Arabidopsis thaliana: one gene and its partners. The protein of the gene in region 2 interacts with the protein of the main gene of each other region in a pairwise test. Each region holds a gene or a part of one and is shown on either strand. Other genes may lie near its edges. The genes, in order: AT1G62120, CERK1, DIR1 and ATRPAC42.

Evidence for each region.
Region 1: the proteins of CERK1 (region 2) and AT1G62120 interact in a two-hybrid assay, tested with the Arabidopsis thaliana proteins (one study listed by BioGRID).
Region 3: the proteins of CERK1 (region 2) and DIR1 interact in a two-hybrid assay, tested with the Arabidopsis thaliana proteins (one study listed by BioGRID).
Region 4: the proteins of CERK1 (region 2) and ATRPAC42 interact in a two-hybrid assay, tested with the Arabidopsis thaliana proteins (one study listed by BioGRID).

The regions. Positions count from the first base shown.
Region 1 is NC_003070.9:22,957,636-22,964,586, forward strand, and holds AT1G62120 (Mitochondrial transcription termination factor family protein), read right to left. Parts: upstream 4,469-6,951; 5' UTR 4,005-4,468; coding exon 2,691-4,004; 3' UTR 2,504-2,690; downstream 1-2,503. Other genes in the region: AT1G62110 (Mitochondrial transcription termination factor family protein), read right to left, coding at 459-1,847; AT1G62130 (AAA-type ATPase family protein), read right to left, coding at 4,730-4,843, 4,931-5,035, 5,135-5,194, 5,297-5,435, 5,521-5,681, 5,765-5,848, 5,935-6,045, 6,310-6,480 and 3 more.
Region 2 is NC_003074.8:7,612,813-7,621,473, reverse strand, and holds CERK1 (chitin elicitor receptor kinase 1), read left to right. Parts: upstream 1-2,802; 5' UTR 2,803-2,943; coding exon 2,944-3,583; intron 3,584-3,679; coding exon 3,680-3,713; intron 3,714-3,801; coding exon 3,802-3,809; intron 3,810-3,906; coding exon 3,907-4,062; intron 4,063-4,151; coding exon 4,152-4,345; intron 4,346-4,423; coding exon 4,424-4,513; intron 4,514-4,606; coding exon 4,607-4,700; intron 4,701-4,777; coding exon 4,778-4,929; intron 4,930-5,027; coding exon 5,028-5,116; intron 5,117-5,198; coding exon 5,199-5,334; intron 5,335-5,430; coding exon 5,431-5,529; intron 5,530-5,769; coding exon 5,770-5,931; 3' UTR 5,932-6,117; downstream 6,118-8,661. Other genes in the region: TWD1 (FKBP-type peptidyl-prolyl cis-trans isomerase family protein), read left to right, coding at 377-413, 694-870, 986-1,075, 1,316-1,500, 1,612-1,734, 1,875-2,027, 2,117-2,449; AT3G21620 (ERD (early-responsive to dehydration stress) family protein), read left to right, coding at 7,433-7,746, 7,824-7,973, 8,052-8,187, 8,281-8,382, 8,458-8,577, 8,660-8,661.
Region 3 is NC_003076.8:19,643,826-19,649,932, forward strand, and holds DIR1 (Bifunctional inhibitor/lipid-transfer protein/seed storage 2S albumin superfamily protein), read right to left. Parts: upstream 3,016-6,107; 5' UTR 2,801-3,015; coding exon 2,492-2,800; 3' UTR 2,203-2,491; downstream 1-2,202. Other genes in the region: AT5G48470 (uncharacterized protein), read left to right, coding at 1-17, 118-177, 258-302; AT5G48480 (Lactoylglutathione lyase / glyoxalase I family protein), read left to right, coding at 989-1,272, 1,617-1,833; AT5G48490 (Bifunctional inhibitor/lipid-transfer protein/seed storage 2S albumin superfamily protein), read right to left, coding at 4,107-4,412. UniProt on the Arabidopsis thaliana protein: Putative lipid transfer protein required for systemic acquired resistance (SAR) long distance signaling. May interact with a lipid-derived molecule to promote long distance signaling associated with SAR.
Region 4 is NC_003070.9:22,396,422-22,404,073, forward strand, and holds ATRPAC42 (DNA-directed RNA polymerase family protein), read right to left. Parts: upstream 3,993-7,652; 5' UTR 3,864-3,992; exon of another isoform or gene 3,747-3,863; 5' UTR 3,735-3,746; coding exon 3,600-3,734; intron 3,299-3,599; coding exon 3,110-3,298; intron 3,028-3,109; coding exon 2,898-3,027; intron 2,811-2,897; coding exon 2,730-2,810; intron 2,639-2,729; coding exon 2,451-2,638; intron 2,353-2,450; coding exon 2,257-2,352; coding exon of another isoform or gene 2,167-2,256; exon of another isoform or gene 2,144-2,166; coding exon 2,050-2,143; intron 1,965-2,049; coding exon 1,848-1,964; intron 1,755-1,847; coding exon 1,657-1,754; 3' UTR 1,492-1,656; downstream 1-1,491. Other genes in the region: AGD2 (ARF-GAP domain 2), read right to left, coding at 4,823-4,937, 5,015-5,460, 5,599-5,689, 5,884-6,008, 6,231-6,491, 6,576-6,662, 6,746-6,955, 7,216-7,341.

The DNA of each region.
Region 1 (6,951 bases), on a different chromosome or scaffold from region 2:
CTTACATGACCAATCCAAGAGCTAAGGGGCTGCATTGCATCATTCTAGTCCATATCTGCAGTTCCAAAAACCATGATCCGATACGTGACACTGAAATAAGACCATACCTGATCCAAATTACAGTACAATTCACAGTTTTTTTAAAAAAAATGAAGATTTTTGGTAAAAAGAGCAGAGAACAGAACCTTGACTCTCTTATACGTCTTGAATTTAAACTTCAAGAGTTCAGACAAACAAGGTCACCAAAAATTCAGAAGATTTAAATCAGCAAATACATAGTTTGAATTCACAAGTCTGTGATTTTGCAACAATTCTGTTTCTATGATGCAAACCTTAGTAATATATCAGAAAAAAAGATTCAAAATTACAATTTAAAGTTACTTTTCCAAACCGGATTGCTTTTAAAGTCTAATATCAAGGTTTCAAATCTCCAAAAATAAAAGGAAAATCCTTCTGATCTATGATGATACACGACCTCTGGTGTAAATAGTCATCAACTCAAGCACCAGCTCCTTGTCACCATGGTTCCTCACATACCTTTTTAAGAACAACTCATCAGTACATACCAAAACAGACGACATTGGAGGGAGTTCACTTCCTGTGTCTCCGAGAAGTCTTTTTGACATGAGAGCTTCAATAACATTACACCTTGGGACAGTCCTCTTCTCCAGGTTGTATCCAAGTACCGTAGGATTTGAAACCACATCCTTCAGTGGCCAATTCATCTTCTTCACCACAAACTCAATCTTCTTCTTCACCGTCTCTGCAGATAAAATAAGACACTGAGGAAAGCGCTTAACCATTGTTATGAACTCATCTCTGCTGAAGCCTAGGCCTAGAAATATTTCAATGGAGTTCAATATCTTCTGCTCTGAAGTACCAATGCACTGCGGATACTTTTTCAACACTGAGATGACCTCGTCTTCGAGTAGTCCACACTTCTTCAGGGTTTCAATTGTCTGACCAATCTTCTTCTCCGAACTATTCAAAAAGTAAGGACATTTCTTGAACATTGCCCATACATCTTCCACAGCAAAGCCGAACCCTTTATACACATTAACTCTTTCTTCTATTGTTTTGTCGGTGAATCTGTAAACAGCCCTAAGAGCTTGGACAAACTTTGAGGTGGTTGGATCAAAACCCATCTCAACAACCTTCTTGAGTGATTCTTCAAAATTTTCTTTTCCACAAACAGGTTGGGCATCAGAGATGAGCAAGGAGAATAACAACTTCTGAGGCACACCCAAGTCTCTAAGAACCGAAACATTTCTGATTTTATTACCCTGCCTATTAGCCTCTGGCAAAGGTTGACACAAAGTTTCGTACTTGGAACTCTTATCTGCTTCTATAATCTCTTTGACGAAATCATAGTATCTGCCTAGAGACTTTCCCTCTTTCATTCCCAATATTTTAGGAACTGTAGAAACAATCTGAGTGAGCTCAGGGCTTGAAGCTCCTCTAGACTCCAAAAACTGAAGCTTGATATCAAGTGATTTCTCAGCATCTATTAGAAGCAATCTAGGATAATCCGTAATGATGCTGGAGATCTGAGAATTTGTGAACCCATAACTTCTAAAAAGACTCAGAACTAAATCAGGATTGCCCTTGTTCACGAAACTGACTTTCTTTGAGATTGATTCAGCGAGTTTTGTAGCTAAACCCAATGAATCAACGAGGTAAGAGACAGTAAAGTTCTTCACTTTTCGACCATCTCTTGAGCTCAAATCAGTAGCACTAGCAGAAGAATAGGAATTAGAAAAAGCTGATCCATTTTGCACAACAAATCTCAAATGACGCCATTTCTGCAACTGTACCAACCTTCTTCCATGGAGTATCACAGAATACATGACAAAGAAAATGCGAATACAAGAAGAGCAGAACCAACAAATCCCAGAAGTGTAAAAGCGATTCTACCCCAACTATCCGTTTCTATTCGAGAAGAAGACTCTGAAAATTTCTACTAAACTTACGATTGAGCGAGGAAGAAGAGCAAATTCATTCATCAATCAGTGACCCACCTTCTCATAGATTGTTAAAAGTGTGACCTTTTTCTCCATAGAGAATTAGAGAAGACTCAAAGATCCAATTATCCAAATTGAGGGAGGCAAAATTAAAAAATGAGCTCTTTAGGGTTTAGGCAAAGCCCTCGTTTTGTTTTAATTTAGAACTAAAAATAAACATACTGTTGTTATTTGGCTATACTTGTTTTTGTCTCACAACAACAACAGAAGTATTATTACAAGATGTAACAACGACATAGACTTTACATGAGCACACAAGAGTGTCTTCCTCTAAAGGTCACATACTATATGTCCATTTCTTGGACCAGAAGAGTGAGTAATATCCTTCAAGATTGTTTCGTACAAGACTAATTCATCATCCTTCAGGGTTAAAAGTATTCGTGTTCAGACAATCCAAAACCTCTAGATCTCTATTCTAGTTCTACCAATAACCTACATATGTCATGTAGTAAATAGTTGTGTTGCTGTTTCTTGGTTATTGTCCCAAACGGATTTCACATTAGAAGAAAACGGGTTGGATCCGGGTCAACTTAAGATTACAAAAGTCTAAATGGGTTTCAGACACTCATACACAAAATCTATTCTCTACTTCCAAAAGTCAAGCATCAAGATTCACTAATGAATCTAAACCTAACAGAAAACAAAAAAAAAATCCATCCTTGACTTTGCTCATTGTTCTAGGCGTGTCTTCTGATCGGTGAGTGAAACACGATCTCCGGTGAAGATAGCCATCAACTCAGCCACAAGCTGCTTGTCATCATGTTTCCTAACATACATATATAAAAACACCTCACTGGTACTTGTCAAAACAGAGGATATTGGAGGGAGTTCACTTTCGAGCAATCCTTTTGAGATGAGAACTTTGATAACATTACACCTTGGGACAGTCCTCTTCTCTAGGCTGTATCCGAGTACCTGAGGGATTGAAGCCACAGCCTTTAGTGGCCAATTCATCTCCGTCACCAGAAACTCAGTCTTCGTCTTCATCAACTCTGTAGAATATCCAATGCACTGAGGGAATCGCTTGACCATCATCAAAAACTCATCTCTGCTGAATCCTAGGCCTAGAAATGTTTCAACGGAGTTCTCTATCTTCTTCTCAGACTTTGTCAGAATGTTTGGCCACTTCTTGAACATTGCCCATACATCGTCCACAGCCAAGCCTAACCTTTTACAGGCATTGAATTTATTTTCAATTCCTTTGTCGCTTAATCCGTAAAGAACGTTAAGAGCTTTGACAAAAGTTGCGGTGGTTGGATCAAAACCAATCTCAACAGCCTTCTTGAGTGATTCTTTAAATTTTTCTTTACCACAAACATCTCCGGCATCGGATATAAGCAATGAGAATAACAACCTCTGAGGCACACCCATTTCTCTCAACACCAATAAATTTCTGATTTTGTTCTCCTGCTTACTACCCTCTGGCAAAGAATGACATAACTTTTCTAACTTGGAACTCTTATCCGCTTCTATAATGACTTTGACGAAATCATAGTATCTGCTGAGAGATTTGCCCTTTCTCTTCCCCAATATTTTCGGAACTGCAGAAACAGTCTCGGTGAGCTCAGAGCTTGAAGCACCTATGGACTGCAGAAACTGAAGCTTGGGAGCAAGGGATTTCTCAGCATCTAGGATAAGCAATCTTGGGAAAGTCCTAATGATGTTGGAGATCTGAGAATCAGTGAACCCATGACTTCTCAAAAGACTCAGAACAGAATCAGGGTTGCCCTTGTTATCGAAACTGACTTTCATGGAGATCGATTCAGCGACTTTTGTAGCTAAACCTAATGAATCAACGAGGTAAGAAACTGTAAAGTTGTGACCTTTTCGACCATCTCTTGAGCTCACATCAGCAGCAATAGCAGAGGAGGAGAAGGTATTGGAAAAAGCTGATCCATTTTGAAAAAGATTCACTGAAACCCTCAAATGGCGCCATTTCTGCAACTGGACCAACTTTCTTCCATGGAGAATCAGAGAATACATTACAAAGACAATGCAAATAACTCACAGTGTGCTAAATCTGATTCAATTCGAGAAATTGAATAAAGCTCTAACCTTTAGAGCCACGAAGCTTTTTCGCTTCGCAGTTTCCTATATCCTCTGTGTCTGTGTGGGAAGAAGCCTCGCCTCCGTTATACATCGGTGTTACTGCTTGCCGAATTCAAGTTCTGGAGCTGAACTGCGTGTCGCTCAAATTCAATCAAAACAAACCGGATGATCAATATAATTCGGTTTAGTCGACTCGTTCGATTTACTGGAAGCGATTATAAACAACATCCATTGACATGGTCACATGAACGCAACTTCCACTTGGGAAAGTCGTCATCAGATACATGAAGCTTCATTTGGATACGGTTCTTGATTTCTTCAAGTGTTTCTATGCTTTCAAAGCAAAGATCGTCCGATTGATCGAAAAGGGAAAAAACATTTGGAACTAGAGACCGAACCTGACTGGTTTAGTTGAAATGTGAACCGTTATTAACTATTTAAGCTAAAACAAATTGTTGAAATGTGACTACGACAAGAATATAAGTCATTTGAAACTACCAGTGACCGAACCTGACAGGTTTGTATCAAAACTCCGACTAAAACCTGTTATTCTGTCAGAACTCACTATACCTTTATAGTTTATACTGTTTTATGACTATCTATCTATTCACGTGAACATATTATATACAACACATTCTGCTTCTGAAGTAGACTCAATCCTACACGTACTGGCTGAATGATTCATTCCTTCTGGATCCACCTTCCCCGTAGTCTTCGTTCCATTGTCGAAGCGCTGTCATGTTGACAGACTTTGATGAGATGCTCATACTCACCTGATTCAACAACATCGACAACAGTTATACAGTTCTCTGAGCCAGAGACAGATTTGAGAAAAGAAAGCTCACAAGCAAAAATCATACCAGCTCGAGTGCGTTTCTGAAATCCTCCATTTTTAAAACTCGGAGATCAGAACCTCCACTTCCAGCTGGAGGAACTCTGCCTTCAGCCACAGCAGCATCTCGCTCCTACCATAATATATCTCATCATAAGCATATTTTTATTCTATAGACTAGTTTTAGGCAGCATAAAGTTAGTTTTCTTGGTTTAACACAAAGACTACTTACACTTTTTTCCTTCTCCACTATCTCTATGATTCGACGGCGGGCAGCAGTAACACATAGATTCTGCACGCACCAAAAGAGCATGTAACATGGATATATATGAGCATTACTTATCATTTCGTCAGACCATAGCAAAAGGTTAAAAGGAATTACTAGGAATTTTACCTTAAGATCGTTTCCAGAATATCCATTTGTCATACTAGCAACCTCATCAATATCGAAATCAGGGGACAAGTCTTCTTTTGAAAGTATCACCTTCAATATCTTTGATCTACTACGAGCATCTGGTAGTCCCACCATCAACCTGCAGAAGCCAATACCAAAAACTTGTTACGACATGTCAATTTGACAGAAAGCTTAGTCCAACAAGGAAGCTATATATAAATTACCTATGAGGCAACCTTCTAATGACAGCCTCGTCAAGGTCAAAAGGTCTATTTGTGGCTGCAAGAACCAGAACACGTTCCTTTTCATTTGTCCTCAGACCGTCCCAATTTATTATGAACTCATTTTTCGTCTTCAGCCTGTACCGATGTAGCATGCTTTCCACCTACAAGACAGTAAAATATTGTAAGACAGTCAATGCTCTGACTACAAGCAAGATTCGCCCACGAATTGACCATGAGGAATTACCTCGTCCAAAAAGATAATGCTTGGGGAAATTTTACTAGCCAACGAAAAGACAGCTTTGACATATTTCTCACCCTCACTAAACCACTGCAATATTGAGAAGAACACAAGTTTGAACAAGAGATTCCGTGTATAAATTGGTAGAGTCCAACTTTTCAAGGATATTCTGTTACCCTTGACATTGACATGTTGATGAGGTTAGCACCAGCTTCCGTTGCCACTGCCTTTGCAAGCATGGTCTTTCCAGTTCCAGAAGGTCCAAATAAGAGAATTCCGTTACAAGGCTGTGTAGAGAAGTACAGGAGCAGACTGATTAGGAAGCCACCAATCCATAACGTTAACATCTAAATTATAGGAGATAAATTTTTTGAGGAAAGCCAAATTATCAGCTAGTATTACTAATATCGTCATTACTTCACAAAACTTATGAACATGTATACTGGTACACACAAATAAAAGGTCCTTCACAGATCTGTCATCAATTCGAGGCAGGACATAGTGAAACAATATGGGAATTTCCTAAAACCAAATGCGGATAAGACAACCACCTTTGTTAATTGCCCCTTGCAGAAAAGTTCAGGCCATTGAAAAGGAAGCATAACCAGTTCCTTTAAAGTGTCTTTGACATTCTCAAGTGCCCCAATGTCATCGAATGTAACACCAATTTCACTGGGCGGAATAATATCACTTATTTCAAACGTATTTTCTGTCACAATGTCCTGAAAGCAACAGAGAAAATTAACAATTGTTACATGATAGAAGGAATTGCCAGAGTGAAAATAAGTAAACAAAAATTCAATTTCCAAGACGATTTGCTAACCTTGAGAGACTTCTTAGATTCAATTTCCAAGAGTTCTATTCCACATTTTAAGCTGCAAGGATCGAAAGTTCATTCTCAATACTGAAACAGATACATTGGTGAAAATAAGTAAACAACGATGCACAGGGACAAGCTGCCAATTACCTCTCAAGAGACAAAATAACCCTAACATCTGGATCAGCACCAGGATTAGACTTTATATGGTGACTAAGAGCCCATCCAATGATCTTTTCTGCACCTGATGCAGATATCCAAAGTCAACTTTTTCGAAAAGCATTCCATTGTCAACTCTGGTCATCATGCCGAAGAAAGGGAAAACATACTGTCTCTTCGAAGTGTGAGATCCTTCATGCACAGCGTCTCAATGCCT
Region 2 (8,661 bases):
GTCGAAGGGTCTCTTTATATTTTCAGAATCAAAATCTGAAATTTATCTCTCGGTCGATCCAGTCTTCGTGAGTGACTTCGACGACGACGACGAGTCACACTACTCTTGAGCTTCTCATACTTCGTAAGTTCACTCTCCTCTTCTCTAAATTGACAAACTTTTTCTTCGTTTTCTGCTATTATTGACGACGAGACTTGATTTTGTTTTGAAATGAAATGGTTCAAGTAGCTGACTTCGACTATGTTCTTTTGGGTTTTTGTCATTGAATCTTACTTGTCTGATTTGGTCGATGTTTAATCAATTCAACACTTAAAGATTCAATTTTTGGATTGACACTTGCACATTTTTATTCAGACCCAGGTTGATTTGGGAAATAATGGATGAATCTCTGGAGCATCAAACTCAAACACATGGTAAGTAAATTTTCATAGATTTAATCTCTCTGAATACATATATATGACTTCAATATGTTTGATTGGAGTTTTTTTGTTGTCCCATATTCAATTGGATGCTTTGTTAAAGGATAAATGTCTATCAAATTATGTTGACTGCGTTATTCTTTCTAAATCATATTGTGAATCTTGGAACAAAGCATGTATACAACAAATTTGTTAGACTTGATAACTCCTTTTCTGTTTGTTAAGAATTGAGAATGACTATTGGGGTTGACTAATGCATCTTTTGTGGCTCCAGACCAAGAGAGCGAAATAGTTACTGAAGGAAGTGCCGTTGTGCATAGTGAGCCATCTCAAGAGGGTAATGTTCCTCCTAAAGTTGATAGTGAAGCTGAGGTCTTGGATGAGAAAGTCAGTAAGCAGATTATAAAGGAAGGTCACGGTTCCAAACCATCCAAGTACTCTACATGCTTTTGTAAGTACCCTTTAGCTTTCTGTTGATTGGATGTTGATTTTTCGATTGCACTTGTTGGCCTATTGCTACTGTTTATTTGAATCTTTCTATCTGACCAATTTCATATTGGCCATAGTGCACTACAGGGCATGGACCAAAAACTCGCAGCACAAATTTGAGGATACATGGCATGAGCAGCAACCTATTGAATTGGTTCTTGGAAAAGGTATGTGGCTGTCGAATATGTACTCTACACCTCCATTTCGTTAGATGAATCGTCATTGGTAAATTTGATGAGTTAGCTTGTGTATTATATGAACCCAATGAGATGGATATTTGGGAGGAAAAAAGATTGAGTTTTGTATTTTTTTTGCTTCAATGCTGATTAGCCCATTTTAACGTCACTATACAATTTTTTTTATAAAAAAGATTGTGCACTAAGAGTGAAATGTTGTCTGTGAGACAGAGAAAAAAGAACTAGCCGGTTTAGCCATCGGTGTTGCTAGCATGAAGTCTGGTGAACGTGCGCTTGTGCATGTTGGCTGGGAATTAGCTTATGGGAAAGAAGGAAACTTTTCTTTTCCGAATGTTCCACCTATGGCAGACTTGTTATATGAGGTGGAAGTTATTGGGTTTGATGAAACAAAGGAGGTAAGTTATTTCCTATACCATCATCTTGTTTCCTTACCAAGACGACTCCACATCCAAGCTTTATCCCAACCTCCTTGCTTACCTCTCTGACTTAGATGATGTATTGAACAGGGAAAAGCTCGCAGTGATATGACTGTAGAGGAAAGGATTGGTGCAGCAGACAGAAGAAAAATGGATGGGAATTCTCTTTTTAAGGAGGAGAAACTGGAGGAAGCCATGCAACAGTATGAAATGGTTATGCATCTCTCTCTATCTCTATCTCTCTTTCCAACAATTACGGTCAAAGTTTAGGTTTTCAGGCATACTTAGTGAGTCTGCTCGAGGCTCTTGTGTCTTCTTTCGGCTTTTGATTAGTCATGGTTTTGCTGTTTCAGGCCATAGCATACATGGGGGACGATTTTATGTTTCAGCTGTATGGGAAGTACCAGGATATGGCTTTAGCAGTTAAAAACCCATGCCATCTTAACATAGCAGCTTGCCTCATCAAACTAAAACGATACGATGAAGCAATTGGTCACTGCAACATTGTAAGACTCATCAAACCATTCATTTGAAGAAAATCATTAAAGTTCATACTCGGTTTCTCGAAATCTAATCAAACTCAAAACCTTATCAGGTGTTGACAGAAGAAGAGAAAAACCCAAAAGCACTGTTCAGAAGAGGGAAAGCAAAGGCAGAGCTAGGACAGATGGACTCAGCACGTGATGATTTCCGAAAGGCACAAAAGTATGCTCCTGACGACAAGGCGATTAGAAGAGAGCTACGAGCACTTGCAGAGCAAGAGAAAGCCTTGTACCAAAAGCAGAAAGAAATGTACAAAGGAATATTCAAAGGGAAAGATGAAGGTGGTGCTAAGTCAAAGAGCCTTTTTTGGTTGATAGTGTTATGGCAATGGTTTGTTTCCCTTTTCTCCCGTATCTTTCGACGCCACAGAGTTAAAGCAGATTAATGTATGAAGAAGGGTAACAATTCAACTCTAAAAGACCAACGTGAAAGATCTACCCCCATTTCTTATTAGTGAGAATTTTGAAAAATATTTTATATAAGAAAAAAAAATAGTCTCTATTGTTTTCGATTATAAAGTAACTTTATATTTTGATCCAAAAAAATAAATTTTTAACAAAAAACATACAAAATTCGAACGTAAAATCTACTTCCTTCAACAGAAATGGCGGTCTTCATAGTTTTTGTCTTTGACCAAAGACTTTCAAATTCCAGCTGCTAGTTGCATTAAATGATCTTAGTATTATTAATTAATTAAGAAACTTCTCAACAATTAACAAACACTAATCAGTAATCATCATTCTCTTTAGTTGAAAAAAATAGTCAACGTTTGATTAAGTCAACCTTTTTCGTCTTTGAATCCATCTTCTTCCCCACAGAGCAACGACGAAACAAAAAAAACAGAGACCCTTCCTCTGGGGAATCTAAGGAAGCTTCAAAATGAAGCTAAAGATTTCTCTAATCGCTCCGATTCTTCTTCTCTTCTCATTCTTCTTCGCCGTGGAATCTAAGTGCAGGACTAGCTGTCCTTTAGCTCTAGCTTCGTACTATCTCGAGAACGGAACAACACTCTCCGTCATCAACCAAAACCTCAATTCTTCAATCGCGCCTTACGATCAAATCAATTTCGATCCAATCCTCAGGTACAACAGTAACATTAAAGACAAAGATAGAATCCAGATGGGCTCTAGGGTTCTTGTACCTTTCCCTTGCGAATGTCAACCTGGTGATTTCCTAGGGCACAATTTCAGCTACAGTGTTCGACAGGAAGATACTTACGAAAGAGTCGCGATTAGTAATTACGCGAATCTCACGACGATGGAGTCGTTACAGGCGAGGAATCCTTTTCCGGCGACTAACATACCTCTCTCTGCGACGCTTAATGTATTGGTGAATTGTTCTTGTGGTGATGAGAGTGTTTCGAAAGATTTTGGTTTGTTTGTTACGTATCCGCTTCGTCCTGAAGACAGTCTCAGTTCTATTGCGAGATCTTCCGGTGTATCGGCGGATATTCTGCAGAGATATAATCCCGGTGTTAATTTTAACTCCGGGAATGGAATCGTTTATGTGCCTGGAAGAGGTACAAAGATTGATCTTTGATGATTTGTGACACAAATTGTTATAAATGTAGTAATGATTGTTGAAGTTTATGTACATGTTCCTGTGTTTTTTGCAGATCCAAATGGTGCATTTCCACCATTCAAATCAAGGTTGTTTTTGTTGTTGTTAAGATTGTATCTTTGTTCATTTTGATATCTATTTACTGATGTATTTCTACTTCTCTTATGTTTTTTGTAGTAAACAAGGTTGGTTCTTTTCTCCATTTTTGAGCTTTTGATGATTATGCACGAAGCAAGAGGAGACATGGAAGAGTATGTTTTTGATATTTTTTTGTATTAGCAGATGGTGTTGGTGCTGGAGTTATTGCTGGTATAGTTATAGGAGTGATTGTGGCTTTGTTGTTGATCTTGTTTATCGTATATTATGCTTACCGGAAGAATAAGTCGAAGGGTGATTCGTTTTCTTCTTCTATTCCGTTGTCTACTAAGGCTGATCATGGTAATTTCGTGATGATCATATACAAGCAGTTTTTGTCTCTTTTGTTAGCTGGGAGTTGCTTATTATGTTTATATGAAATCTGCTTTTAGCTTCTTCTACTAGTCTCCAAAGTGGAGGTTTGGGTGGTGCCGGAGTGTCTCCTGGCATTGCTGCCATAAGCGTGGACAAATCTGTTGAGTTTTCGTTGGAGGAACTAGCAAAGGCTACTGATAATTTCAATTTGTCTTTTAAGATTGGGCAAGGTGGTTTTGGGGCTGTTTACTATGCAGAGCTGAGAGGAGAAGTAAGCAGATATCTTTTTATATCTTTTTGTTTGAAGCTACTACACATGGAACATTTAAATTATTCGGTTCTTGTATAGAAAGCTGCGATTAAGAAGATGGACATGGAGGCATCGAAACAGTTCTTGGCGGAACTAAAAGTCTTAACGCGTGTACATCATGTCAACCTGGTAAACCCCTTTTGTGTTCTCTCAAGATAATATCTGAGATCAGATGAAGATCAAGTCTTAGCCAAATTTTAACGAATTTGTTTTTTCTTGCAGGTTCGCCTGATTGGATATTGTGTTGAGGGATCACTTTTCTTGGTGTATGAATATGTTGAGAATGGTAACCTTGGACAACATTTACATGGGTCAGGTACGCAATATAAAGACCTCCAAAAGTGAATCATTTTTCGAGAAAGTTGTAAACTAAAAGAGTTTATGTGAAACTAGGACGAGAACCATTACCGTGGACTAAGAGAGTGCAGATTGCACTAGACTCAGCTAGAGGTTTAGAATATATCCACGAGCACACGGTTCCAGTTTATGTCCATAGGGACATTAAATCTGCCAATATTTTGATAGACCAGAAATTCCGAGCAAAGGTACATTCTCGATTTCTCTTTTGTCAATCAAAAGTGAAAAATACTGAAAAGGTTAGATTTTTCCTTTGTCACCGCTCTGAGTCGTTTACGTGTTACAGGTAGCAGATTTCGGGTTAACAAAACTGACAGAAGTTGGAGGTTCAGCAACTCGGGGTGCAATGGGTACATTTGGTTACATGGCACCAGAGTAAAGAATTTGATCTCGTTTACACTTATATACTACTTTAGAGACTACACTATAGTGATGGTGTATATATGTATGTATGCAGGACTGTTTATGGAGAAGTGTCTGCAAAAGTAGATGTATATGCATTTGGAGTTGTCCTTTACGAATTGATTTCTGCGAAAGGTGCGGTTGTCAAAATGACAGAAGCCGTTGGTGAATTTAGAGGCCTTGTTGGTGTGGTTAGTATTATTGTTTCTTCGTAACATTTAGTCTTTCTGATTTAAAGGCATGTATGTGGATCACTTAACAATATGCTTTGTTTATTTATTATTCAGTTCGAAGAATCATTCAAGGAAACCGACAAAGAAGAAGCACTACGCAAGATTATAGACCCGAGGCTCGGTGATAGTTACCCGTTTGATTCGGTATACAAGGTAATATCTCTTCTTGTTCCCTATTCTATTCATCATTGATCATTCTAAAAGAGGGTGTCCAATCCGTTTTTTGGTCCGAAAAACCGATTAAAAGTGCGATTTTTAAAAACCGGTATTCACTGAACAATGTGCTATTCGATTAGCTTAAAGTGTCGAAAAATCAAACCGAATACCGGATTGCACATAGCTAATTTTAATAACGGGGTAAGCCAATTTGGTGTTTTATGTGTTGTGGTATAGATGGCGGAATTAGGGAAAGCATGTACACAAGAGAATGCGCAGCTACGTCCGAGTATGAGATACATTGTGGTTGCTTTATCCACTCTCTTTTCGTCTACCGGAAATTGGGATGTTGGAAACTTCCAAAACGAAGATTTAGTCAGTCTTATGTCCGGCCGGTAGACTCGTTTTCCGGTTTGCTGTTGTTATATAGAAATGATTGTTTTTTGGTATGCTCACGTATATTTTGTCTGTCTATACGAACTTTACATGTCACAACTCACAAGTTGACTTTTATATGATTTTCTATAACGCTCTATATGTCAATTATTCAACGTCTCCGATATCAGCATCTCACGTCAAAGATAATAATGAAATGCATTAAAATTCTCATAAATAAATTTTTTGAAATCGAGTTTGCCGACAAAAAAATCAAAACATAAAAATATAACTTTTTGTGATGGATACTCTCACGAAGCTTAGAACAAGTCTTCCATAACACCAAAGAAATTCGAATGATTTTGTCACATGGATTCCCCAATACATAAAATCTATATTCCAGCTTAGAACACTAAGTATGTTTCTTATTTCACCTAGCTAGATTTTCTTTATTAGAAATAGAGTAATCGAATATTCTTTTACCATAAACCAATATATTTCATTTTTTGTTTTTTTCTTCTGTCAACAACATACAGATACGGCTACATATATCTATGATTTTTTTTCGTTTGTCCATTATTTGTAACGGAATAATTATTTAAAACACACAAAAAGTTACCTTAAACTGACTAATATTAAATCAAAACTTTTTCATTCCAAAAGTCAGATCTCAAACCTTTTTTTTTAACATAATGTGTCCTCTAAACTTTCAAATCAGGGAATAAATAAATACATTAGAAAACGTTAAACCAATATAAAATACAGCCGTTATAATATGAACATAAATAACATGCTAATACGGCGAGACCTATAAGGCTAATAAACCATTATTGCTTCTCTAAAGAAACTGAAAAGGAACCCAGTAACGGACGATGTCCTAAACAACAAAACATTCAATTAAAATACAAATTCCTTAATTAACACTATTACTTTATTTAACACAAATTAATCTCTTTTGCCAGGTGTCCTTCACCGTTTAATCCTCGGTTCGCTAAATTAGTTAATTAATTAATTAAATGGACTTGTAACACCCAAAACGTATGAATCAGCAGAAATCTCACTTCAGTTGAATCTTTGGATCAATTTCCAAAATAAACCCAAACACACAAATTAAAAATCTCATTTTTATGAATGTTTCTGCTTCTTCTTTTGATCCCTAATACTTTCTTCTTCTTCTTCTTCCTCTCCTTCATTCTCTGCTCAACGTTGTTTGACTTCACAGATAGAAACAACAAGACGAGTTTCATCGCTGAGCTCTTGAGAAAGGTAAAAACTTAAACTTTATCTCTATCTTTCACATTCATGTGAAGAATCACTCATTTGTAGAGTTGATTCAGTGTTTAATGGATTTGACGGAATCTGAAAAGACTATGACTAGGATCCAAAAATTCCGATTTCTGGGTGAAACGAGAAATTTATGGAGAAAAACTAGCTAAAAATATTGGCAATTTGGAAGTCCTTGGATTGCAAGGAACCCTAATTTTTTTCGTTTGTTTCAGGAACATTGTGTGTTTCTCTCTAAATCATGGCGACACTAACCGATATCGGAGTCGCAGCAACGATCAATATTCTAACCGCATTTGCTTTCTTCATTGCCTTTGCGATACTTAGACTTCAACCAGTTAACGACAGAGTCTATTTCCCTAAATGGTATCTCAAGGGTTTAAGAAGTAGTCCTATAAAAACAGGTGGCTTTGCTAGCAAGTTTGTCAATTTGGATTTTCGATCTTACATCAGATTCTTGAATTGGATGCCTCAAGCTTTGAGAATGCCTGAGCCTGAACTTATTGATCATGCTGGTTTGGATTCTGTTGTCTATCTCAGGATTTACTTACTCGGGTATGTATATTTGTATATCCTTTCTTCTTTCTTGAATGTTTTAAACAAGTTTGTGATATCTTTGGTTTAATTTGTAGGTTGAAGATCTTTTTTCCTATAGCATGTATTGCTTTCACTGTAATGGTACCGGTTAATTGGACTAACTCGACGTTGGATCAGTTAAAGAATCTAACTTTTAGTGATATTGATAAACTCTCTATATCGAATATACCAACTGGATCATCCAGGTTAAGAAACTTCTTTAATATTTGTGGCTTTAGTTGATTCTAGTGATGAGGAATATTCTGACTAGTATATGTAAACAGGTTTTGGGTGCATTTGTGTATGGCTTATGTTATTACCTTTTGGACTTGCTTTGTCCTACAACGAGAGTACAAGCATATTGCTTCCATGAGGCTACAGTTTCTTGCTTCTGAGCATAGGAGACCTGACCAGTTTACTGTATGCAGACATTTTAAATCTCTTGGTCCACTTACTTTTTGAGTTTTCTGAAGAGGAAATGTGGTATGTGATTCTATTTTTTGATGAATGTAGGTTCTTGTAAGGAACATTCCTCCAGATCCTGATGAATCAGTAAGTGAGCTCGTTGAGCATTTCTTTAAGGTCAACCATCCAGACTACTACCTCACTTACCAGGTACTACAACTTTGGTTGTCTAACTTAGGATGTTCCATGTTTTCGGTGTATTCATCTTCTCGTTTAACAAAACAGGCGGTCTACAACGCAAACAAGCTGTCGGAACTGGTACAGAAGAGGATGAAATTGCAGAATTGGCTTGATTACTATCAAAACAAACACTCTAGGAATCCATCTAAAAGGCCTTTAATAAAGGTAAGACAAATGTATGCAACCACATTGCTTTCTTGATCTTCTCTTTAGTTGAATCTTGATAATCTTCTATTTACCTGAGCAGAT
Region 3 (6,107 bases), on a different chromosome or scaffold from region 2:
TAGAAACTGTCACAAAGGTATGTTTCCAACATTCCTCGATCCCCTATGTTCAACAGATGATAGTAATAGAGAACATTGACCACTTTTTTATGTGATGTTTAAATCCAATCTTGATAGGTACTGGGAAGTATATACTCGGGTAATGCCTCCGGGATAACAGCACAACATCTAGAATGGGTAAGTTCCTCATAACACCAAAACATTTGCAACCAAAGTCTCGTTTCTTTGCATTCATCATAGTTTATTTCTGTTCACAGGTTCACCAAAAAACCCTCCAAGTTCTTGAAGAAATCGCTTATTAGTAATATCTTTTGTTACATCAAGAAAGACTCGCAGGTAGAGATTGCGTCCTGAAATAATCTTGATCGGTATATAATTTGTAATTTGGTTGGTTGATATGACATATAATGTCTCTCTACTAAACTATGCACATCCATTAAACCTCAAAAGTTACATGTGACGTAAAATAAAATTGGAAAGGGATAGAAGAAAAAAAAGAATAATGGTAGTGATATTAACATATCTTTAAACCCATTCGAAACGGATGGGAAAAAATAAAATCGTAACTTTTGTCCTATGTGTACCATTCAGAGTTACACAATGATAACAAACTAAAATATTTGATGACACAGTATATAACAAAGATTAAAATATTCGAGTAACCAATTTTAATTGATTTCTTTCCAACGGTTTAATAGAGGAGACATGCGAACGAGACACGAGTCCTATAGGGTAGTAAATGAAAAGTGATTAGTAGGGGCATATTCACGTAAATAAATCAAAAAGTAAGGGTAAAAATCCACGGACGTGAGAGCAATTGTTATATCCATTTGAAATCCTCGTCAGGTTACACGAAACGATTCCGCTTCTCCGCTTCCTTCATAAATATCTCACTCATCGTCTCTAGATTGTTCTTTCACACGCAATTTTCATTTCTCTCTTAACCGTAAACGAATCTCTCTTCTCAAAGTTTTATTTTCTCTCTGCGATGGCTCAAGAAGATGTTACTGCTGTTGCTACTAACGGTGCTGGTCCGGTGGAGACGCATCTTGTCTTCACTGAGTTCAAGCAGATGTTGCTCGTTGAAGCTCAAAAGGTCGGTGACGCTGTTACTTTCTACAAATCTGCTTTTGGTGCGATCGAGTCTGGTCATTCTCTTTACCCTAAGCGTAAGCTTGACCAAGAGCTTCCTCATGTTCTCTCTTCTGAGCTTAATCTCGCTGGCTCTTCCTTCGTTGTTTGCGACGTTTCCTCTCTCCCTGGTTTTTCTACGTAAGTCTCTCTCTCTCGTTTTGGTGTTTAGCTTCTAGATCTCCATGTTTTCTGTTTTTTTTTTAGGTTTTTGTTCGTTTAGTGTTTGATTTCGTTTTAGATCTGGTTTTAGGTTGTTTTATTAGAAGAAATCTGGAGAATAAATCATGTTTAGAAGTTATTCCTCTCCCTTAAACACGATTTTTTTGTTCGTTTTAGATCTGGATTTAGGTTTTTGAAATGAATAGTTTTTGGAAACTTTTATAACGCTTAAAAAACTATTTTAAGTGGATGATTGTGCCTTTTCTTAAATACGATTACTGTTTACTTATGTGGTTTTGTTTCTTTTTTAAATCGTTAAACAGTGCGAAATCGGAAGGTTCGGGAGTGACTTTTCTTCTCGGAACTAAGGATGCTGAAGCCGCCGTTGCGAAAGCTGTTGACGCCGGAGCTGTGAAAGTGGAGGTTACGGAGGCAGAAGTTGAACTGGGATTCAAAGGAAAAGTTACGGATCCTTTTGGTGTCACTTGGATCTTCGCGGAGAAGAAGACCGTGATCACCGACGAGAACAAAGAGGTTTAGAATCTGTCGTCGGATCTAATTCTTCGTCGGTTTCTGAACAAAAAAAACTATCTATTATCCTAGGTTTATGCTTTTATTTTGTCTTTTGTGGAATCCGGTAATCAGTAAACCGGATCGAGTAGGCTAATGACTTTCGGATTCTAATTTCACCCCTTTTGACAAACTCTAATCTTGGTGAAATTGCATATTAATCTCGGGCTATATTATGTTTTGTTGATGATTTCGCTTCTCTATCTATCTTCTATAATCGTTCTGTGTTTAATCTGTGTTCTTTGTCATTTTTGTTGGTTTAGTACTAAGGGTATAATCGTCTATTTGGAATGAAAATGAAATGGTTAGTGATTAGATAAGACGGAATTAAGAATATTTGTTGTTTTGGTGTCAGAGTGTTGAATACTGTGTCAGAGGTAGTGAAACCATAAACCTCTGTATTTGTGCTTTGTGGTTTCTCTCTATCGCTTATTGGTTACATATTTTTCGAAATTGCCCTTCCGTGTTTGGGCCTTGTGTAGTTTTCGATTGGTCCTCTTTCTTTTCTTTTGACCAGTTTTTGGGGTTAACCCATAAACGCCATTTGGCAGAAAATACGATTTATTAATAACATCCGATATTTAGAATAGGAGTAATAAAAAACATAAACACACGTATACAGAGTCTTTTAACAAGTTGGGGCGTTGGCTAGACCACACTGTTTGGGGAGAGCAGAAGCGAGTTCAGGATCAACACCGAAAGAACCGAGCCATGGAGAGTTCTTGTAACCACAAAGACATGCAAAATCAGCGTGTTGCAGAGCGGTGCAGCAAGGCTGTGATGGGCTCGTCGGATTCTCCTTGCTAACCGCTGGTTTGCACTCATTCAACTCATCCTGGCTCATGCCGCAGAGATCTATCGCTACTGATGTATCGACCAACATAGCCATTATCACGATCATCGCCATCATAACCATAGCTGCTTTCTTGCTCGCCATATTATTATCCTCCTCTCTCTTTTTCTATATGTTTGTTTGTGTTTGTGGTGTTGAAATGAATGTGCATGAGAAGGTGTATATATATCAAGTTTTAGAGAAACCCGTGAACCAGATTGGATTGCTCCATATAGTCACGGGGATGTGTTTTTCCACTTTACTTTTGGGAGAGGGTCTTTTGTCATAGAATCATAAGCTTTCGGATTCTTATCAATTATCAAGTATCGATTACACAATTTCCAGTCCACAAATCTTTTACTACAAATGGAAAAAGAAAATTCAACTTGCACATTGTATTTGTATATAAAATTCTCTTTTAATCGAAAAAAAACACATTAATAAACATCCGCAAAATACTGGGCCTGATATGAGCCCAAGTAAGAGTACTCTAAGAAGTTTCACAAATTACGAAAATAAAACAGTTAGCGAGTATTACTGTTAAGTGTCAACAACAGTTAGCTACTTTAACCACAAAACAAATGAGAACATCAGTTAGTATATAAACGGGACAAAATATAGAACGAAGAATAAATCCAAATCTCTAGATTCTCAATTTTTTTGCTGTTCTATTTTCAAATAAATGTTTTATTTTCTTTGAGAATTTCAGTCCTATTAGTGTAATTAGTGATAAACTCATAAGCATGGCACATACGAGATGATTATTTGGTCTACGAAATGGTTTAGTGGATTTAATATATGTATTTTTATAGTTGATACTTTTTCACCATCTAATCGTTTTTCAACTACAATTACTGTTTTTACCGGCGATCACTGTTTTACCGAAACCTAAAAAGTAAAAACTGTATAGTGGCAATCATTATTTTACCTAATTCACAATTATCTTCTTTTTGTTAAAGAGATTTTAGGAAAAGCAAATTAGGCCTTGGCCAACGAAGGTTAGAAATAGAAAGACTATAACAAATGACCAATTTTAAAGGTATATGAGCCAATGGAAAAGAATAGAAAAAGGAGGAGTTCATTCTTCATAGTCAAAACCATCAAAATTTCATTTGCAATTAGATTGAGATCTATTGTTCATGATGAATTTGATGCAACAACAGCATTTTCATGACTTTGTTTTCTCTATTTTCATACTATTTTTTGGTGAACTTTTTGTGACGTTTTTATGATAAGTATTTTTGATTTTATAGGTTTAGATCATTGATATTATTTTGTGAAGTGTGAACCATAGCTATGCGATAATCTCGGTATGAATCTAAGCGAATCCATTAAAATATCCTTATATTTAATTAGAATATTCCATTAAACATGGTAAATAATAAACAAACAAAGGAAAACACCATAATGCTTAACAAGTTGGGGCGTTGGTTAGGTCACACTCTTTAGGGAGACTAGAAGCGAGCTTGGGATCTACACCAAAAGAACCGAGCCACGGAGAGTTTTTGTAGCCACAAAGACAAGTGTAGTCAGCATGTTTCAGAGCGTTACAACAAAGTAACGATGGGCTCGTCGGGTTATTCTTGCTCACCGCTGGTAAGCATTCATTCAACTCTGCCTGAGTCATGCCACAAAGGTCAATCGCCACTGACCTCTCAACGACTAAACTAGCCATCACCATTACAATCACCATAATTGCCACCTTCTTGCTTGTCATTTTATCCTCTTTATTTTTTATATATTTGTTGTGTTTGTGGTGTTAAAATGAATGTGCATGCAATGGTGTATTTATTATTAAGTTTTGGAGCAAACCCGTGAACTAGATTGGATTTTCTTTCTTCACTTTTGGGATAGGGTATTGGTCACTTGGATTCTTATTATTGCTGCTCTTTTTTGTTTTTTTTTGGTATTTATCAATTATCCACAATCTCCAGCCCACAAATCTTTTACTACAAAATGGAAGAAGAAAATTCCAGAGTAATACAACTGGCACATTGTGTAAATTTTCTTGATATTGATAAACATATGTTGCTTCTTACAAATATTTGTGGATTAATGGCAAGTAATTTGTATGCCACTATAACCAAGAAAAAAATACAACAGTTATTTGTATGTCACTTGCTGATTATTTGTCACTTTTTTTTTCCGGTTAAAATTTAATTTAAATTTATAACATAATATTATATTTACTTTTAAAAACTAATTTAAAATAAAATATATCTCTATAAATAGTAAACAATCAAACAGAAAATTAATAAAACTAGTCATGAATTATTGTTTTTGTCTAAATCTTATTATCCGTACTTGCGAGTATCTAAATTACGTTATTTGTTATTTACTTGATAACGATGAATCTTGTCTAAGGCGGATACAAAACCAAGTAATGGATGCAGGGCAACATATATTTATTAATGTCATAGACCCTAATTACAACTTATATATAACTTTTTTCAACTAATACACTTTATAACTACAAATATTCTTCTTATTTATATAGGTAAACTAATCAACATTTGCAAATACTTTTTTCCAAAAATAACATATATGAAAAAGGCATTTGCAATTACTGGGCCTGATTTTAGCCCATGAAGGATTTGTGCTTTTCTAGTGTTTCGATGCTTTTTAAGAGCTTCCCAAACTAGAATATCATGTAACTCTCTCCTTGTTCATTACCCATCAATTCCAGATTTTTGAAATTAAAAGGAGCTTAAAAAGCTTATTGCACATTTCAGATTTGCTCGCAAATAAATGCTAAGGAAAAAATAAAAAATTTGAAGTTGAAAAATAAGAGGGAAAAAAGGTTTAGCATGTCTTATTTTATTTCTGGATATTTCAACTTATTTTATCTATTGAAATTCATTTTGGATGCTATTGTCAGTTTTATAAGAACTCAATAACCAGACAAATCTGTATAACTAAAATATTTTCCAGATAAAGTTGATTTAATTTTAGATTTGAGTTTGTTTTGGTCAAAGTATTTATGATCGTAAACAACTTAAACCTAATATAAAATCTAAAGACCTTAAATCCAGATTTTACTTGGGTTACCAAAACCTGAATAAACCCAACCCAAAACTTATTCTGGCCACTATTAGCTACGTTTTCTTTATTGGCAACAAAAGTTAGCTACTTTAACCACAAAACTAATGAGAATATCAATTAGTATATAAATGGGACAAAACATAGAAGGAAAAAAATAAAAAGAGAACGAGAACGAGAATCTCTCTCAATGACTCGAGTGTCGAGACTATTCGGAATAAAAGAAGCATACAAAGTTTACTGCAGTTTTCAGACTTACTCACAAATGGTAAAGTTAAAAAGAAAGTAATATGAAGTTGAAAAAATAGATGAAAATTCATTTCCAAAAAAAAAAAAAGAAGATGAAAAATAACCTTTGACCATTGTCTTAGAC
Region 4 (7,652 bases), on a different chromosome or scaffold from region 2:
CTTGTTTTCTCTTTAGAACAATGAAGAAGAATACGGAGTTATGGACGAATGGTGTGGGGAAAGGAAGAATTAAAATAACCACTAAACTCTTGCACACACATTATGCACTGGTCTTCTGTATTTAGAAATACTTTCTCTTGTTATAATTCAAAGATACACAAACTAATAATTACCAATTCAATTTACAAAATATAGTGTCAAAGAAAAAGATCAAAAAGATTCAAAAACATTGTTTTTTTTAACAATGGCTGGTCATAAAAAGAGTCTTACCCGTCTTTTCTTTGTTTCAGTAATTGATTATATTATCATTGTTCAGCGGATTAGGAGAAGGAAGCAAATATATAAACTATAAAGATATGATAAAAGACAGAATTCCAGCTTGCGGCAGTAAAAGCCCCCAAAGAATGTGTCAAATTTCCAGTCAACCTTTACCATCGTGGTTGTGAAATTGCTACGCGTTATCGTCGTGAACAACATCCGGATTCGGGTTAAGAATATATGTATGATATGATATGTCTAAACCATTTTCTATAAACTATGAATTTTTTTATTATTATTGATGTGATATTGTATATCGTCATACCGTCAAAATTTAATTATTGTAAGATACTTTTGTTTTATTTTGTAACCTGGAATTATTTTTTTTTATATACTAATAAATTAATATGTTACCATGCATAGCTTAAACTTCTTGTTAAAAAAAAAAAAAAAAAAAAAAAAAAAAAAAAACTTCTTGTAATAGTGGTATTTACTTGTAAATCATAGTTAGACGAGTATTTTGACATTTGGTAATTGAATCCGAAGAACTTAAAATTGTTTGGTCAAAACTTCTAAACTCTTTCAAAAACTCAGCACCCCTATTTGTGGTTATGTTGTAAAGATCCACTAATAACCAATAAAACATGTGAGTCTTGTGATATATTGTAAAACATGTTCGTTATAAAATTCACAACCACATTGTCGAACTTTGTTTATATTCCCTTATCATAATCAGTCTTACTATTAGCATAATCAACTGTTTATGTACTGATGTCTTCTAATTAGAAAACTTAAAAAGGTAAAGAAAAAATAGAAAAAGAAAGAGCTCAGTTAAGAGGCCATATCACCAGATAAACTGGAGAAATGCAAAGGACCCAACCTTTACAGAAACCGATTTCATCACAGCTCTATTGCACCAGCCGGGAATCGAACCCGGGTCTGTACCGTGGCAGAGTACTATTCTACCACTAGACCACTGGTGCTACTTGTTTAAATGTTACTTCTTCAGTTATTTATACATAAACTCTCATAGTTCATATTTAATGAGAACATTTTGTATAATCTAATGTGGCAGGGATCTATTCTACCACTGACGCTATTTTAAGTGTTCAATGAAACCAAAAACTACTATTACCAACACACACCTTGATTGGCACAATGTAAGGAATGGCGTCAGTGTTCTAGTGGTAGAATAGTAAAACCAAATTAAACCGAAGCAGATTTCCAAAATTGGTTCAGCTAGGAATTTTGTTATGAATCAGAACTCAGAAGGCTAATGAAAATCCAAATTGAACAACAACCGTATAAATAAATATGTCAATGTTGTTTGTTGGTAATTTATCAATAGGAGGAGAAACATTGATAGACAGACAATTCAAAATTGAACTAAACCAGAACTCAAAAGTCGGTTATAGCTTCACATTTAGCTTCCAATATCTTCACAGCTTCAGTGAAGAGAACCTCTGGAGGCAGTGATCCGGTGGACTCAATGTTAACTGAGAAAAAAGACGACAAGAAACTCAATTACGATATCTTTCAGATCATGAGTAGCAGAGTAAAAGGAATGGGTTTTATTTTTCTCTTCTTACATATAAAATGGTTCTTAACACTGCCAAGATCCACATGGTCTACCAAATCATCGTCTCTTACGCATTCCTTACACAATGTGCACTTACGTGGCTGCGCTACTGTTGCCCTTTTCTTACCTGTTTTCCACAAGTCAGTATGAAATCAAATTTAAGTAAGTCATGCAGCCAAGTTCATCAGCTTGCATAAGATTTTATACTTCACCTTTTCCCATGTCTTCAATGTCGAAAACATTCTGTGGGCAGACGTTTACAAGTCGTTCAGCAAGTTCATCCTCAACTTCCCCACGTAGAACCACCTAAGATAGTATAAACAAAAGCATTACGAAACATATATATTGGGATGAGGAAAGACAAAACAAAGAGCTGTTTCCCATAAAGCATATGATAGATTGATGTATATACTTCTCACCTCAGGATGCATTCTATACCAAGCAGTCCCTACTGGAGACCACTTTGCATGTGTTTTACCAATGCCCTTAACCGCATGAGCTTCGAGCTCGATTTCCTGGGAAAAAAGAGATAAAAGAAGATGCACATGTTTCATCTCTCATTGCAAGTATGGTCTGCTTGGGTGTATATAAAAAGAATGTACAGAAACACTACCTGACCAGGGGCGAGTTTTGCTATCAAGATATCGAGGTCGCATGGAGTGATAGGATTATTAGCAAATTCAGGTAATGAATCTTGGCTGCAACTGAATGAAGTGTAAGTTTTTGGCTTTGAGGTTTTATTTTCCGATTCTCTCAGAAGCTCACTTCCATTTGGTAACCATTTTAAATCACTCGTTAAAACTACAAGAAAACGAAATGATATCTTTCATGAGAGATGGAGCTGATAATAAAACAAGAAATCTTCTGATGCTAACTAATGAACATATATTACCTTTAAGACGTGGTCTATTTTTCGGACATTTCACATGGAGTTTGAATACAATGGTGTTCTTTTCATTCGCCTGATCATGTTCTATCATACACAGATAAAGAAGTAAGCTAATCAGAAGAATTATCATCATATGTAGATGGATCACATACCACTGAAATATATGCTTACCGGATAAATATTCAAAAAGTCTTGGATCTGCGGCAATTGGAATAAGACCCATCCTGTGAGCAAGAACTTCGTCTATAATAACCGATGTGTTGTACGCTATCAACACTTTTTCAATAGCCATTGAAGGAACCTGCAATAAAGAAAGAAGCACTTTAAGCCAAAGATTACAACAATGAGGGATTCATCAGAGGTTGTATGAAAACTTGACAGACCTCAGCTATAAGGATCCTTCGGAATGCATTGGCAAACGCTGCATCAATACCAATCATATCAAATTCCATATCTGTCTTTGTGAGACTAACCACATCAACTTTGAAGTTATCATAGAAGTTTCCTAGCTTCACATTGTCGTCCTCTTCCGTAGAAGAAACATAGGTACCCGAGTAAATGGCACTCGCAGTCTACAGAAAACACAAACACAAGATTAAAGACTTCAAATTTCAAACAATCACTACTCAATATCATCTTGAATTTGAAAACAAAAGGTGTATTCTGGTAAAACACTTAAGAGCCAAACTCGTAAATTCACAGCTTTTCACAGGAAAAAACAAAACTTTTACTCTGTATCATGAACACAGCAACGATAGAACTCAAACCCACATGGGATCATTGAGAAAAGCTATAAAATTTGTAATTAGATAAGCTTATAACCAACAAAACAGAGCATAAAAGATTGTAACTTTGAACGAGAATAGTTCTTACATGAGCAGGAGCGTTGTTTTTAGAGACGACACGAGTTTGCTGGGCTTTGAGATGTGGAGGAAGTCCGGCAGGGACGTCAGGGAGATCGTCTATGTTGAAATTTTTGGCGAATTGTTTTTCTGCTTTAGTCACCATCCTTGTCTAGGTCTATAGCAGAACTAGGGTTTATCAAATTGAGAAAGAGAATTGAAGGGTTTAACAAAGGAAACCACAGGGGGTGAGGAAAGTAGTATTGGGTCAAAGAGTGAAGTCGAAGAAGCTTACCTGTGGCCGAGAGAATTGAGCAATTTAGAGAGAAAGAGAGAGTAGGAGGCGGCGGCGAGGAGATGAAGAACAAACGGTGAAGGGTTTTGAAAAAGCCGCCGGTTTTATTTAATCCCTTAACTCTTTCCGGTTCGAATTAAAACGCATTATTACCAAAAGAAACAATAAAAAATTCATTTCAAAAGAATACTTCTTCTTTTTTTACATTTCAAAAGAATACTGTTTAACACTAAAAATAAAGCCATTACTTTAAAAAATAAAAATTTATTCCACAAGATGAATACTTTCTTTTGCTCATGATTTTGTTTTATAGCAAAAAACAATAATAAGAATTTATTCTTTTTCGGTGAATTGTTTAATTTAAAAAAAAAAAAAAAACTTTTCTGCAATCAATTCGCAGCATATTGGTTAAGCTAAGAATATAAACTAAAAACATATGTAAACAACAATTCTAGGAATGACTCCTTTTGTTTTTGGCATCTACTGTGAATGATAGGCTTTTTTGAACTCTAATTAATATTGGTCAAAAAAAAAATGTCGATGGGACTCTTCTACGTTAGTATCTAAGAATGTGGCAATAGCACTACTTAATTTAGAGCAAAATAATAGAAGAAAACACGACACTTACTTCATCAAATTTTTGTTGGGCAATGAGAATGTTGTCTATAATAAAGTTTCCGGCTACAAAACACATATTTGTATCTCGGATATCAAATACAGAAGAAGAAAAAAAAACTTTGAGGTGCAGGCTTAGAATCTTTGAGATCATCTTATGTATAACATTACAAAGGCTAATACAGTAGGTCGGAATCTTGACATTTCCTAGAGTTCTATCTCCTTCGGGAATTAGGTAAATATTGGAGCATCAATGCGATGAGCAAGTCATGACCAAATACTACAACAGTTACAAGTTACATTCCTTTGCGTAGCAATCAATCAGCAAATGGTATATTGGTAATTTACTGACACTCTGCTAATAGAAGGAAGAGCTCTTCATCGGTTATGGCTCCCATCTCCATTGCCCTTTCCAACACACTTAATCCTCCACCATCCTCTATTGATGGACGAGCACCTCTGTCAAATTCAAAGAAGAGAGACACTAAGTATCTACTCAAAGTGCCCCTCATGAGATTTATTAGTTAGTGTGTTACCTTCTCAGCAAAACCTTTGCAAATGCGTTGTTCCCTGATGCGATGCAATGGTGTAATGGAGTTCGTCCGTGGTAATCTCTCATGTTTATGTCAGCCCCGAACTGCAACAGCAGTTCAAGCAAGATTGGGTCACCGCTTTGACACGCCACATGCAACAATGAGCAGCCTTGAAGACAGTTTCTTGCTTCGTTCGAATTCTTGATTCTCTGACACGCATTTGGATCGTGCCTTTTCTTTACTTCATCTGGTGCATCAACATGGTGGTGGTGATATACATCAAGGTCAGTAATATCATCGAACTTGGTATTGATGATATTTGCATCTGCTTTTACAATGAGTCGGTAGATGTCTCTTATGTTCCTGCTTTGAACCGCTTCCCATATTCTACTTGAGGCAGTAGAATTTGCTTCTCTTTCATCTTTGACAACTAGTGCTTTCTCCAGGTACTAGCTAGGCATAAACATTATCAGCTTTAGTATCATAAGCCTTTTCTATTCACAAGAATATGCTCATTTGGATGATGCGTCAAGTGACATGAATCTGAGGTCTATGTATGCGAAAACTTTAAGAACTAAATCTCATACCTTTCCGTTAATATATTTCTCCTTCAGAGTAAACCAATCTTCTGAAGATGGTTTCGAAACTGATGCAAGTGTGTCTGTCGATCCCTTTTCACTGTAAATATTCAACAGAAGATAGGATCATAGGAAAGTAAAGATCACCAATCTCATGATTTTACACAATTGGGAAAATAGAAACTTGTAAAAGAGGAACAGATGATTTTGATTCAAGGAATGTTATTTCTTGATTGTGTTATAGAGACAGTCTTTACTTATATAAACAATCTAATTTTCCTTGAGAAATTATACCTGTCATCGTCAAGGTGATGAAGTAGCTCCTCCCAGACTGAATTACAGTATCCGTTGCCTAAGTTCCGAAATAAGTCCAAGATTGTAGGCTCCCATACTTTCACATCCAATGTGAGCGATCTCACCTGCAGACATTCTTTGACATTAGCTAAATATCTAAGCTTCATACACAGATGTTTAATTCAGCAAGAAATATAAACACTTCATCTTAAAAAATTGAGCTCTGCAAATTTTGGTTGATGCAAAGATATATAGCACATGGTTAGCTTTACAACAAATGAGCTTATACAACCTCGAACTAAATGGAAAGAAGCTACGCAATATCGTACCAAAATGAAGAAATTTACCTTGGATATATGAACGCCGAGATTCCTGTGAACACCAGAGCATTCAATGCACATCAAAACTCCAAGATTCAATGATGCCCAATCGGGGTCAGGTGCATTGCATTCTGCACAAGTGTTATTTCCAGGAATTTCTCTGAGTATTGTAAGGACGTCATCCCCCACATTTAGTCTTTGATTATAATCTTCTTTTTGATTCAGGGTGAGGTTTTCAGTGGCAGGACCAGAACTAGTATTCTTTTTATCCAAGTATCTTGCTGGTGACTGCAGAAGATATTAGATTCTATAACAACACAAAATTTTCAATTTGAAGGTAAAAGAAAAGTATGAGACTCATATTGAGTAAACCTGCTGCAGAAAATGAGAATTCAGACGTATTGTTATAGCTGCTGTGATCTTATTTACCCAATCCATCCTATCAGCTCCATTTTCAGCCTGTAGCATATAGAAATAAATTGTGTTGGCCTCTTGATGCTATATTTGCTCCTTCACGTTTCTATATCTAATAAATTTAGTACCTGTAGTGTGTAAGTCTTTTGAGGAGATATAATTCTAAAACAGAGTCGAAGATCTGTGTCCTCTGCGTCCAATTTTATCAGTGAAGTACGGAGATCGATCATATTGCAATCTAGGCTTCCCTGTGAAGCTGATCGATTGTGTCTTGTACGAAATCTCCCAAAGACGCCGCTACTATGCTCTCCTAAACCACTGTAGTAATGCTGAGATTTCTATAAATAGAAAAAGATGATTAGAAGGATAGAAACTGAGAAAGTGAAACTTAAAATAAAAGAATACACAGGTGAGAGAGATTTGTTTAACAGTCAACAAATATAAATATAGCCAAGACATGAGGGAGTGCTAGTATATCTACATAACTATAAAAATGTACGAAATTGGACATTGGAAATTGAACTATAACCAAGTCTCAAAGAGCTTATGGATCTCTTTCATGGAAACGAGGAAGTGAAAAGGAGCTTGGCAAACATACCGCTGATTTATTACCGGTGTTTCTGTAATAGTATAGGGATCCATGGTTGTCAAGCACAAAGAATCTCCTTTTCCAATCAGCTCTCAAACTAGCTGATCGCTTTAATAGATACCCTTGTTTAGTTACCTGCATTAGTACACAAGACAAAATAAGTAAGACATTAGCCTGGACAAGAACTGAAGCAGTGAAGTGTATAGCTAATCACCAAATGAGTCATCATAAATCTCAATGTCTACATGGTTGTAAAGCAGTATTATATCTAATAACAGAAGGCCCAAGTCTTGAAGCCAGAAATATTCTTTGCGAGCGCAACTCAAATATTGACACTATTACTTTAACTTTATAAGCATCTGAATGAGAGCTGGATTAATTGTGTCAGTTAGAAAACAACAGTAGGGTAAGCAAGATCCTGTCAATATAAATAGCCATATTCAGAA